Saccharomyces cerevisiae S288C: one gene and its partner. The protein of the gene in region 2 interacts with the protein of the main gene of each other region in a biochemical or structural test. Each region holds a gene or a part of one and is shown on either strand. Other genes may lie near its edges.

What was found. Proteins that work in one complex are often made in the same cells at the same time.
Region 1: the proteins of APL4 (region 2) and APM1 form a complex in vitro, tested with the Saccharomyces cerevisiae proteins (one study listed by BioGRID).

What each region holds. Positions count from the first base shown.
Region 1 is NC_001148.4:49,454-54,306, reverse strand, and holds APM1 (Apm1p), read left to right. Parts: upstream 1-1,635; coding exon 1,636-3,063; downstream 3,064-4,853. Other genes in the region: THI21 (bifunctional hydroxymethylpyrimidine kinase/phosphomethylpyrimidine kinase), read left to right, coding at 1-809; CUB1 (Cub1p), read right to left, coding at 3,349-4,853. UniProt on the Saccharomyces cerevisiae protein: Component of the adaptor complexes which link clathrin to receptors in coated vesicles. Clathrin-associated protein complexes are believed to interact with the cytoplasmic tails of membrane proteins, leading to their selection and concentration.
Region 2 is NC_001148.4:622,965-630,292, reverse strand, and holds APL4 (AP-1 complex subunit gamma), read left to right. Parts: upstream 1-3,325; coding exon 3,326-5,824; downstream 5,825-7,328. Other genes in the region: CSR2 (Csr2p), read right to left, coding at 1-2,413; YOP1 (Yop1p), read right to left, coding at 6,091-6,582, 6,716-6,766. UniProt on the Saccharomyces cerevisiae protein: Adaptins are components of the adapter complexes which link clathrin to receptors in coated vesicles. Clathrin-associated protein complexes are believed to interact with the cytoplasmic tails of membrane proteins, leading to their selection and concentration.

The sequences.
Region 1 (4,853 bases), 570 kb from region 2:
AGACTGTTAAGGACAACGGGCCAATTAATCATGTCTACGCCATCGAAATTCCATTAGAAAAAATGCTCAGTGACGAATGTTTCACTGCATCAGATGCCGTACACAAAAAGCCAGTCAAAAGTTCTCTTAACAAAATCCCTGGAGGAAGTTTCTATAAATATCTGATAAATCACCCTAAAGTTAAGCCCCACTGGGACTCCTATGTGAACCATGATTTTGTTAGAAAAGTAGCAGACGGTTCCTTAGAGCCTAAGAAGTTCCAATTTTTTATCGAACAAGATTACCTGTACTTAGTCAATTATGCCAGGATTTCCTGCATCGCGGGTAGTAAATCCCCGTGTCTTGAAGACCTGGAGAAAGAGCTAGTTATTGTCGAATGCGTTCGTAATGGGCTTTGCCAACATGAAAGGAGATTAAGGGAGGAATTTGGAATTAAGGATCCCGACTACTTACAAAAGATTCAAAGAGGTCCTGCATTAAGGGCTTACTGTCGTTACTTTAATGATGTTTCCAGAAGAGGTAACTGGCAGGAGTTAGTTATAGCTCTTAATCCTTGCTTAATGGGCTATGTTCACGCTTTGACCAAGATCAAGGATGAAGTAACTGCAGCAGAAGGCTCCGTTTACCGTGAATGGTGTGAAACTTACTCATCGTCATGGTGCCACGAAGCTATGCTTGAAGGCGAAAAGCTGTTGAATCACATCTTGGAAACATACCCTCCAGAAAAACTTGATACACTGGTCACAATATATGCTGAAGTTTGTGAATTGGAAGCTAACTTCTGGACCGCCGCTCTAGAATATGAATGAATAGACACATCGATTTTTACAAAATATACAAAAAGTTATACGTAGAAATAATGAATTATGCAAAAATAGGTGTCAATAATTTAAGAATGTTCCTTCATTTTTATTAATATAGTAAAAATTGTTCGGCAGAAACCAAAATCTTCGTTCTGATTTTGGCGTTCTAGCGGCGCTACCATCCTAGTCACATACCTCAAGTATTCACCATAATTTCGTTGATAACTTATCCGGCAGAAACTTTCTCATCTTTCAGAAACCTAACACTGCAGTTGGACATTCTCGTAACATTAGCTGACAGAACTACGACAGACAGTTGCGACATAAAAAAAAAAGAATCACAACTGAACGCATCTTAGGGAAACAGTTAATGTTGGCACTGATGATTATTTGAATAGTGCGTCTTTATATATATATATTTTCTTCAAGGTATTCCTCCATCTGAAAATAATTGAGCATTCGACCCAATATAAACGTTTTCTATGCGCTAAAATTACTGCATACTATCAATAGGACTGCTATGGATCTATAATAGTTATGTAATAAAGATGAAGATATTTCAATGGTATAAAATACGCTCGATATACTATAGCCATCATTAGACGTAACTTCAACTAAGCGAGAAAGGGTATCTCTAATTATGATAATAGTCTTTGAAAGTCGTTGATAGCGATGTTAATTGAACGTATTGAAATATTGCTAGACGATGAAAAATTAAGAGTTAAACGGAAAGTGGGCTGAACAAAAAAAAGCATATAGAGAAACTAAGTCGTACAATTAAATATAGGAGTATTTTTGAAAATTGTAAATTACGAACTTGGAGGGACACAGAATGGCTTCTGCAGTGTATTTTTGCGATCATAATGGGAAACCACTCCTATCAAGAAGGTATAGAGATGATATTCCGCTTTCTGCAATTGACAAATTCCCTATATTACTCTCGGATTTAGAGGAACAATCAAATCTGATTCCTCCATGTTTGAACCACAATGGTCTGGAATATCTATTTATACAGCATAACGATCTATACGTGGTGGCAATTGTGACTTCTCTTAGTGCCAATGCGGCTGCCATTTTTACTTTTTTGCACAAATTAGTGGAGGTATTAAGTGACTACTTAAAAACCGTTGAAGAAGAATCTATTAGAGATAATTTTGTTATAATATATGAATTACTGGACGAAGTGATGGATTATGGTATACCACAGATCACAGAAACTAAGATGCTGAAACAGTACATAACACAAAAATCCTTCAAACTAGTTAAATCCGCCAAGAAGAAGAGGAATGCTACTAGACCACCCGTCGCACTAACAAATTCAGTCAGTTGGAGGCCAGAAGGCATCACTCACAAGAAAAATGAAGCCTTTCTGGATATCGTCGAATCTATTAATATGCTCATGACTCAAAAAGGTCAAGTTTTGAGATCAGAAATTATCGGCGATGTTAAGGTTAACTCAAAATTGTCTGGTATGCCTGATCTGAAATTAGGTATTAATGATAAAGGCATTTTCTCCAAATATTTGGATGATGATACAAATATCCCATCAGCGAGCGCGACAACATCCGATAATAACACAGAAACTGATAAAAAACCATCAATAACATCATCATCGGCCACAAACAAGAAGAAAGTTAATATTGAATTGGAAGATTTGAAATTTCATCAATGTGTCCGATTAAGCAAATTCGAGAATGAAAAAATTATAACGTTTATACCTCCTGATGGAAAGTTCGATTTAATGAACTACAGACTATCTACTACGATAAAACCGTTAATTTGGTGTGATGTAAACGTTCAAGTTCATTCGAATTCTAGAATTGAAATTCACTGTAAGGCCAAGGCCCAAATTAAAAGAAAATCTACTGCAACTAATGTAGAGATATTGATACCGGTCCCGGACGACGCGGATACACCGACTTTTAAATATTCACACGGGTCTCTAAAGTATGTCCCTGAAAAAAGTGCAATCTTATGGAAAATAAGAAGTTTTCCCGGTGGTAAAGAGTACTCAATGTCTGCCGAATTGGGACTGCCTTCAATATCAAATAACGAGGATGGCAATAGAACAATGCCAAAAAGTAACGCGGAAATCTTGAAGGGACCTGTCCAAATCAAATTTCAAATACCCTACTTTACTACTTCAGGTATTCAAGTACGTTATCTTAAAATTAACGAACCCAAATTGCAGTATAAGAGTTACCCATGGGTAAGATATATCACGCAAAGTGGTGATGATTATACAATAAGGCTGACGTAATGTCTGAAAAATATATAAAAAAAGCAATTTCTACGGTGCATGGACAAAGACACAGGGTACGTATGTCCTTATTCCTCTTTTTCTCCCCCCTCCCATTGACAATTATGATAATGACATAAAGTTGTTTATATATTTTTGTTTTTATATAGATGCTCATTCAGGGTTTGTTATATACATAGACATAAGAGAATAACTTTTTTTCTTTCTGTATTTCATTTTATTGTTTATAATGTTTTCCTCTACCAAGAAAATAGGGAGAAATGGAAGATAAAGAAACACTCTCCTCTATTCCTGTTGATATTCAGATTCAGGCTCGCTGTCGTTTGAGTTCGAGTCTATGCCTGATTCTCCGTTGTCATCGTCGTCAGAACCATCACTTGAAGTAGAGTTCTGTGCTTTTTCCTCGGCTTCCACTTTTAATTCATGCAAGATATCAAAACATTCTGCTAATAAAGCATTCAATATACCTTGGCCTTCAGGTATATTGCCATCAGAGTCATAGAATATACCTTCAGTTCTCAGGTTGTCCAATGAAGCCAATTTCATTTGATAAGGGTATAACTCTCTTTCATTATTCACACCTCCCATTCTTTTCAATTCTAATAGGCAACGACGAACTGTAGATAGTTGATTGTGAATTGGCTGCAACGCTTCAGATACGGGCTCTGAACTTTCCAACAGTTTATAAATTATGGCATAACATCTACGCAACAGGTATAAAAGTATTGATTGCCCCTTTGAGTCCTGAGATTTTGTTGGAAACTTACCATTGATTCTTTTGTTATCAATTTCGTTCAATTTTTTTTGGTAAGAAAATAAATCGGTTTCTCTCAAAGTCCATCTTCTTGTGATCATTAAATTTTCTAAGGTAGTCTTTATATCAATCAGCTGTTCATATATTGGCTGTAAATATGGATCTAAAGTCAACCCGCCATTTTTTTGGTGTGATAAATCGTTAACTAAATCATGGCAATCATCCAATAAACCATTAAGGACACTTTGGCCTTTTTCTGCCACCTGATGAGACTCCAAGGACTTGAATTTACCAGAATCGTCACGATTAGATTCTAATTCACTTAATTCGTTCTTCAAAACTGATAATTTCTCATGGACATACTCTTGAGATACTAAATGTTTGTCATCCGTTAAGCTTTCATTGTTCGTTTGCAAATCATTTTGTTCCTGCAATAAAGAGTTGGTATTAATATCAGATTTAGACATTGTTTTTTTAGCAGATGCAACTAATGACAATAAACCTCTTCTAATTCGGAATAACTTTTCCATTACAGTAGACAAAGACGGATCAATTTCCTCCAATTTGCCTTCCAATATATCATATTCGTCCTTGCAATGCTTTAATTTAGCACGTAGTAATAGGTCTTCCTCAATTTTATTCTTTTTCCTTTCGTTGTCGATTTCCCTTAATCGGTCATCATTTCCATCCTCATCGTACGCAGGACTAGAGTTTTTTTGTTCGACAATCTTGCTGATTTCTTCCAGCCTTTCCTTAATAGGACTCAAATCGTGATGGGTGAAGACGTTTGATTCATTTAAATGTTCCAAAAGACTCTCCACAGTAGATAACGATGCATAAGTCGCAGGTGCAGAATTTTTTAGCCCAACAGTTAAAAAACACAACGAGAGCAATTGAAAGACATCATCCAGTACGGAGTCAACTCTATTATGCAATTCAGTACTATGAATCAGGGTGGCGGCGCTCTTAGCGGGCGTCTCATGACTATTCTTCCTAATATCGTCCAACTCTCTGACTTTGGTCAAGACGTGTTGGT
Region 2 (7,328 bases):
TTATTGGGTCGAAAAGATCGATACCATATGGTGGTAGACTTGCAGCTTTGGTAGCGTCCACTTCACAATATTTTGGAAATTTTAACTTCGTTTTAACAGTAAAGGACTCAGAAAATGGGATATCTTTGTTGTTTTCTTTTGATGAAGTGTAGGCTAATAAGTTATCATCAACTGTATTGGTGACAACTTCCTCTCTAATAGAAGGCCCACTAGTACATTTAGAGGCCACCTCAAATAGAGGCAAGCTTCTGTCCTTCTTTTTTCTCACTAAATATCTCATATGATAGGGATTGCAAGGATCTGAAGCCAATGGATCCAACTGGTCAAAATCATATTGATAGTCTTTACTCCTGTAGGAGATTTTTTCTCTACAACTAACACGAATTCTCTTGACACTAAGACTTTTTACTAGAGGTGCCACTTTAATTGTGATTGGAATTTCACCATTCAAGGGCACATACTTTTGGGCGAATGAAATTTCATAAGAAAGACAATTCTCCCAAACCTTGTTAATGTAAAGTGGCTTATTTGCTGTAGTGACAGAGATTTCTGGCGGAGTTCTCACCAAATTAAGCGGGTACTGTAAATTTATAGTGTCTTCAGAATCATGTTGCATCGCTAAACCACTAGAAGATGCGCCATTATTATCTGACCTTCCGTTAGAATTATTCCTTTTTAAGCGCCCCTTCGCACTTTTTAACCATGAGGAGGGAAATGCGATTTTTCCAGTAGAATTTTTGTCGTTATTGTAGGTTTCTCCTTCTATGGTGTCATCAATTTGAGAATATTCATAAGAATCAGAACAGGAATATGAACGCAGTTTTTGAGGAGAAGAGATAGAAGAAGAACGTGGCCGTGATGCAACCAACTGTGTATGTTCATCCTTCAATTTTGTCGCTAATCTTAAGCTGTAGGATACCCTCGCTGATGGGTAGTAAAGCGATTCAGGAATACGACTGGCAAGCACTATGGGGATAGTAAAGACATAAACACCAGCATTTAACTTGTTCGTAGAATTCGAGGCATTTAAATTGTTTAATATATTTTCCCTAAGAACTGCTTTATTCGAGAAAGAACGGCGTTTCCTCATCGATAATTTCTGGAGCACTTTCAATTTCCTGTTATTGGAATGATTTTCAACGATATCAAGAGGAGACTTTGCGCCTTGCGGAATGAAAAGATTAAAGTTGTCTGCATTTAAGGTCCAGTCCAAAGAACCTATATTATAGCATTCCTCGTTAACATTCTTGGTAGGGGGAAGACCATTGAACCACACCACTCTCACGTTAGAAGTGAGTTCTACTTTAATATCAGAAAGGGTAGTTGATTTATTCAGGGAAAATATCAATGCAAAGCTGAATGAAGGCATTTGGCTATTCCAAGCATTAGGAAGAGAACGCGAGTGAGAATTAGGATGTCTGTTTCTCGCGGGAGAATTGTTATTATTCATAGGGTTGTTATTGCCACTCGCAACAAAGGAATCCGCATCTGTTGTGTTATTGTTCGAGGCCGGAGAAGCACGATCAGAATTGCTTGTATCCATAGCATTACCTGTCCTTGCTGTATTAGAGGGGCTGGTTCGCTGTGTATGTAACGGAAATAGTGATAAATCATTGTTTTCATTCAAAGTGTCCATCGTAGGACATGAAGGGAGGAAATCACTTTCTGCAGTGTTAGTGGACCCGACAGGCTGTGTTCGCGCCTGATTTAAAGAACCATGAATCAGTGATAGATACTCTGTTTCATCACTTTTTGTAGTTGGCAAGAAAACTGATTCTGCACTTGTTGCAATGGAAATTTCCAGCACACTTTTCTTATTATATAACGGTGTTTGCTTGATGAAACCACGATCCGCTAAATAGTCCGATAGCACCCTATTAATAAACATAGTGCTATTACTAGCATGATGTGTTATGAATGACCTAACAATATCATTATTACTAGATATTTGTTTTGCCGCGACTGGATCTGACTCTCTCCTCAACCCGGTGTCTTGCCTTGTGTGTAACTGGTCTATGGTGGTATACGGAACAGAATTCCTGTGCCTATCCGGTTGGTAAGATCCCGTAATATTGTAAGCCTTAGTGCCAACATCTGAAGGAAAACTGTTCCCCCTACACATGGCAGTTGATGCGGTAGAATAGTTACGGTTCATCAAATTGGAATAATCGTCCATACTAGATGTTGGACTATTACCAGTTCCAAAAAAAGAAGAAAGGGCGTCCCTAACACTAGATGACCTCCTTCTACCACTAAATCCTGACGATTTTTGTGGCGAGAGGGAGGTAGAAATCATCTCTCTGTTACGGGCTAGCCTTTGCAATATATCACCCTCGTCGCCTGCAGAAACGTTCTGGACGACATCTCTCTTGTTGCCGTTGCTCGCAATTGCTATTGGGACAGTAGATTGCATGATTGACTTTGCTTACTAGTCTGACTGATTACCCTTGGAGAGCCATCATAATAAATAAAACAGAGAAACGACGATATATATAGTCCAAACCGTGACAACTATGCAGGGAACGGGAGACGGGATTCAATAAGCCGGGGGTCTTTTCCATGTGATACCGAGTAAGGCATAGCCATCATTTGGCAGATCTACAAAATAAAGAAGCCCAGGGTTTGGCCGTGCAGAATCGCTGCGCCAACCCCGGATTTTGCATTTCTTATTCCACTAGGGCTGGTCGTGGGGTACGTGGGGAGCGGTATCCCTTAAAATGAAAAAAAAGAAACTATACCACCCACGCATCCAAACGACCGGGCGAGCGGGTAATAGATGGTTCTATTCTTTAGCCGCCGAAGCTTTCTTCTCTATATACATGTAAATGTATATAATTCCGGAAGTGTGGTCCTGCTACGAACAACACAAACCGATTAATTGATAATGGAAAGAGGAATGAGGTTGGGACAAGTAATACCAACTGGGGCTACAGGAAGGTGGTGAAAGAGGGTATCACATATAAGAACAAACCGTTTATTCGATTATTTAAATCTATTTTAGGCCACGAAGGTAGAGAGGTTGCGAGTGAAAACAACTAACTTTCTTTACGATATTTCTCAATTGGAACTGACAGCGTTAAAGTCCATATTTTGCTACTGATTGCTTTTCTTTGGTGTTATCTACCTTAAGAGAAAAAAAATTCAAATGAAGATTACCCGACTCTGAGTTTTGACGTCCTTAGCTGTTTGTATTCACTGAATTTAGTGGGCTTGGCCATATGAGAATTACAACTAAATCATACTTTTTCGAGATTTTATACTGCTAATATTGGAGAAGAAATATTGACCATCTTGATTTAGCAACGAGAAAGACCTGAACACCATAATGGGCTCTTCGTTGAGAAGCTTTATCAAAGACGTTCGTGGTGCCAAAACACTGGCAGATGAAAGGGCAATTATAACGAAACAATCTGCTAAAATTAGGACAAAATTGAGAGATGACCATCTACCACATGAAAAAAGGCGAGTAAATATCCAGAAACTTCTGTATCTATACATTCTAGGGGAAAAGACACATTTCGGTCAGGTGGAGTCTATCAATTTAATTGCTTCTGACGATTTTGTCGATAAAAGATTAGGCTATCTGGCCGCAACTTTATTGTTGGACGAATCTGAAGATTTATTGACACTCTTAACGAACATGTTGAACAACGATTTGCATCATCCCAACAAATATGCAGTGTCACTTGCACTAACCTCATTAGGCTTTTTGAGCTCCCCTGAATTAGCCAGAGATTTATACCCAGACGTCGAAAATATCATCAAAAATTCAAGAGACCCTTTCCTCTTGAAAAAAGCGCTTCAATGTGCTGCCAAACTAATTTTCAAAGACGTTTCACTTTTAGAAATCTTCAACATCGAAGACATTACTAAGATATTGTCTAGTCATTCAATATGTACTCACGGTGTACTTTTAGGCGTTACGAAAATCATACAATCTATTTTGTTAATTGGATTGAACAGAAAAAAAGATGAGGATGAAGATGAAGACGGTATTGATTACAGCAATGACATCTTGTCTCCATTATCTTTACTTTTGCGTGATTTTTTCATTCGTTTGGAAAATATGAATTCTAAAAATATTGAACCTGGATATGATGTCCAAGGTATTTGTGACCCATTTCTGCAGTGTGAAATAATTTACACTTTAAAACTATACTTTCAAGTTGGTGAGCTCTTAAATTCGAACAATGTTTTGGACTACAAAGATAATTTCTGCGATTTATTGACTCGTATTGCGACGAATACGGATTCAACGAAAAACAGCGGACAGGCCATTCTTTATGAGACCGTGAAGACGATCTTTTCGTTGGATTTGAACCAGCCTCTACGTGTCCTTGGTATTAACATCTTGGCCAAGTTTCTTGCAGGAAAAGATAATAATACTAAATACGTTTCATTAAACACCTTATTAAAAGTTGTTCCCCAAGAGCCTACCGCAGTACAAAGGCATAGAAAATTCATTTCTCATTGTCTGCAGGATACCGATGTGTCGATCCGCATGAGAGCGTTAGAGTTGAGCTTCGCCATCTTGGACGATTCAAATTTAGTGGAATTGGTTAACGAATTGATGAAATTTTTGGCAAAACAGGATGAAGATTCAAAAGATCTCATAATATACACTATAGATCACTTAATTGACACTTTTGATACCCGCGTTGTCAAAGATGAAAGCTGGAAATTAGATGTTTTCTTTAATATCTTAAAATTAGTGGGATCGTTTATCAACTATGAAAAAATTAATGATATTCTAATCATAATAAATAATACGAGCCAGTTATCCGACAAATCTGAATTTTTACGGAAAATGCTGACAATTTCACTAAATGGAACATCAGCGGAGATTTCCGAGGAAAATATTGGTTGGCAGTTGGTTTTGATTTGGTGCATTGGCGAATATGGCGATTTAGTACTCAACGAGGGCAATAAAAATGGTGCAGACATAATCAATGAGTCATCTATTACTGATTACTTACTAACTTTGCAAGAACTCTACACAGCAACGAATCTGAAGATAATCAATTACATTTTAACAGCAGCATTAAAATTATCTGTGAGGTTCCATGACGCGAAAAATATTGAAAAACTAAGACAACTGATATTGAGCTACACGGATTCCACTGATTTATCACTGCAAATGAAAAGCAATCAATACGAGATATTTTTCAATCAGTCAATTTCTGTGAAGAAGATCATTTTAGAAACAATGCCTAAATTTGAAAAAATTACCGAGGAACAGGATAATGGAAAAGCTCTATCGAAAAACCTTATCTCCAACGAACCAGTTGATCTGCTGTCAGATTTATTGGGTGAGGATAGCAAGGCTGAAAGCAAGGCTTCTACTGGTGACAATGTGAAACCAATTGACATATTAGAAGAGATTTTTGGAGAGAAGAATGACATTGCTCAGGTGCCCAAAAATGCGAACAAGGAAGAATCAATCAATCATTCGTCGGCAGTGGAGGCAAACTCAGGTGTCACCTTACCATTGGATGCCAACAAGATATATGACAGTTCCTCACTGAATGTATATGCTTCCTTGCTCTCTGCAAACTCTGGATTAGCACATTTGGATTTATATTTTCAGGCAAAGTCTTTAATATCTGACTTAAAAACTTTCTGTGCCGTTCCTAAAGCTCAAAAGCTAACACTAGGCCAGTTATATCCATCTTCCACAATAAACGCCAGCCAAATTTGCAAGCAGTCATTGAAAATTTCTGGATCTGGGAAACTGAAGTTAAGAGTTAAGTTGGATTTTCATTTAAATGGCTCTTCATCTATCACCAATGAACAGTTCGATCACAAATTCGATGAAACTCTATAAAAAATGCCTTTAAAATTACAGAACATAACATGATTAATGACCTTGCGTTGGATGGTCTGTCGCGCATATCAAGAGACACGTCACGACACAACACGATGAATAGAAATGCTATCTTCTGGGACACCATAAACGACTCCAAAATATTTTATATGTTAAGTAGCGATATATAACAACTAATAACATATGTACTTATATGCTCTCAATAGAATAGATAACAAAGAGAACAAAAACGAGAGTTTGATTTGAGGATATAGGTGAGTTGCCTCTTAATGAACAGAAGCACCTGTAGCCTTAGAAGCCTCATTGACGGAAGCTCTAATTTCATCCTTTTCTGTCTTGCTAACATCTCTTAGGATATATCTGTCGGTCAATGGGGCTACGATCTTTTGATAGATCATTCTAGCGCCACCAGTTTGAGGCAAGGCAATGTAGATTAAGAAAACGGTTTTCAAAAACCAGTAGAATGGAATCAAATATAGAATTGCCTTGGACCAGAATTCAATGACACTCAAAAATGAAAAGACAATCCAGTAGGTCAAGAGTTGTGTGTCATCGGTGGACGTTGGTGTCTTCAAAGCAACCAACGATAAATATGCTGGCAACACAAACCCAGCAAAATTGGAAAGAATTTCACCTACACCTCCGACGTTAATAAAAATCAAAAGGAGATAAGCGAAACCTAAACCAGCAACTAAATAAGATTTAGGCAAATTAGTTTTATTTTCTAATTGCTGTAAAATTCTATTACCAGAGTACTTCTGTAGAAAAAAATGTAGCAAGGAGGGTGAAAATTAGCTTTCTTGTTAGTATAACTGCTTCGGTTACGTGTGTCGGGTCATTTGGCTGTTTGAACCATGATGACGATGGAACCAATAAAACCATCTTACATACGGTATCGAATTGTTTCATTTGAGAGTGAATACTAGATGCATATTCGGACATGATTGGAGTGCGGTTATGTCTTTGTTTATTTGTTTTCACTACCAATTGCAATTTTAGATTCTTTCTTTCGGAATAACAAGCTTCAAGGGAATGTTTTTTAGTTTTAAATCAAAAAAAATTTTGAAGGACATATTTTTTTTTTTTTCGTTCAACCTTGAAAGGGGTTACGCATACTCCCTTTGACGTGGACAAGAAGAGAGAATAACGGCGCTAAGAAAGCGAACCACGAAAATTCGAGAATGGTGATAAAAAAATAAAGGTTAGAATGCCACACAGCCTTCCAAAGAGTGAATGAAAATCTTTTGACTTGATGTAGTTTTTTTTTTTTCAGGAGGAAGTTTAATCCGGATTGTGATTAAATCAGTACTGCCCCTCCAGCAGCCATATAACCTACTTACTGCGTAACTAGTAATTGCGCTCACCCATCCTATCTATGCAACTCTTCTGAAGGTCTTCTCAAGCACTTAATTTTTGTTTTTCAGGAGATTGACAGGGTTTGTCGCTTGTCTTGGCACTCATTCCAGCACTGATTGGGCAGCTAGTTTGAAGAGTTGCACCAATA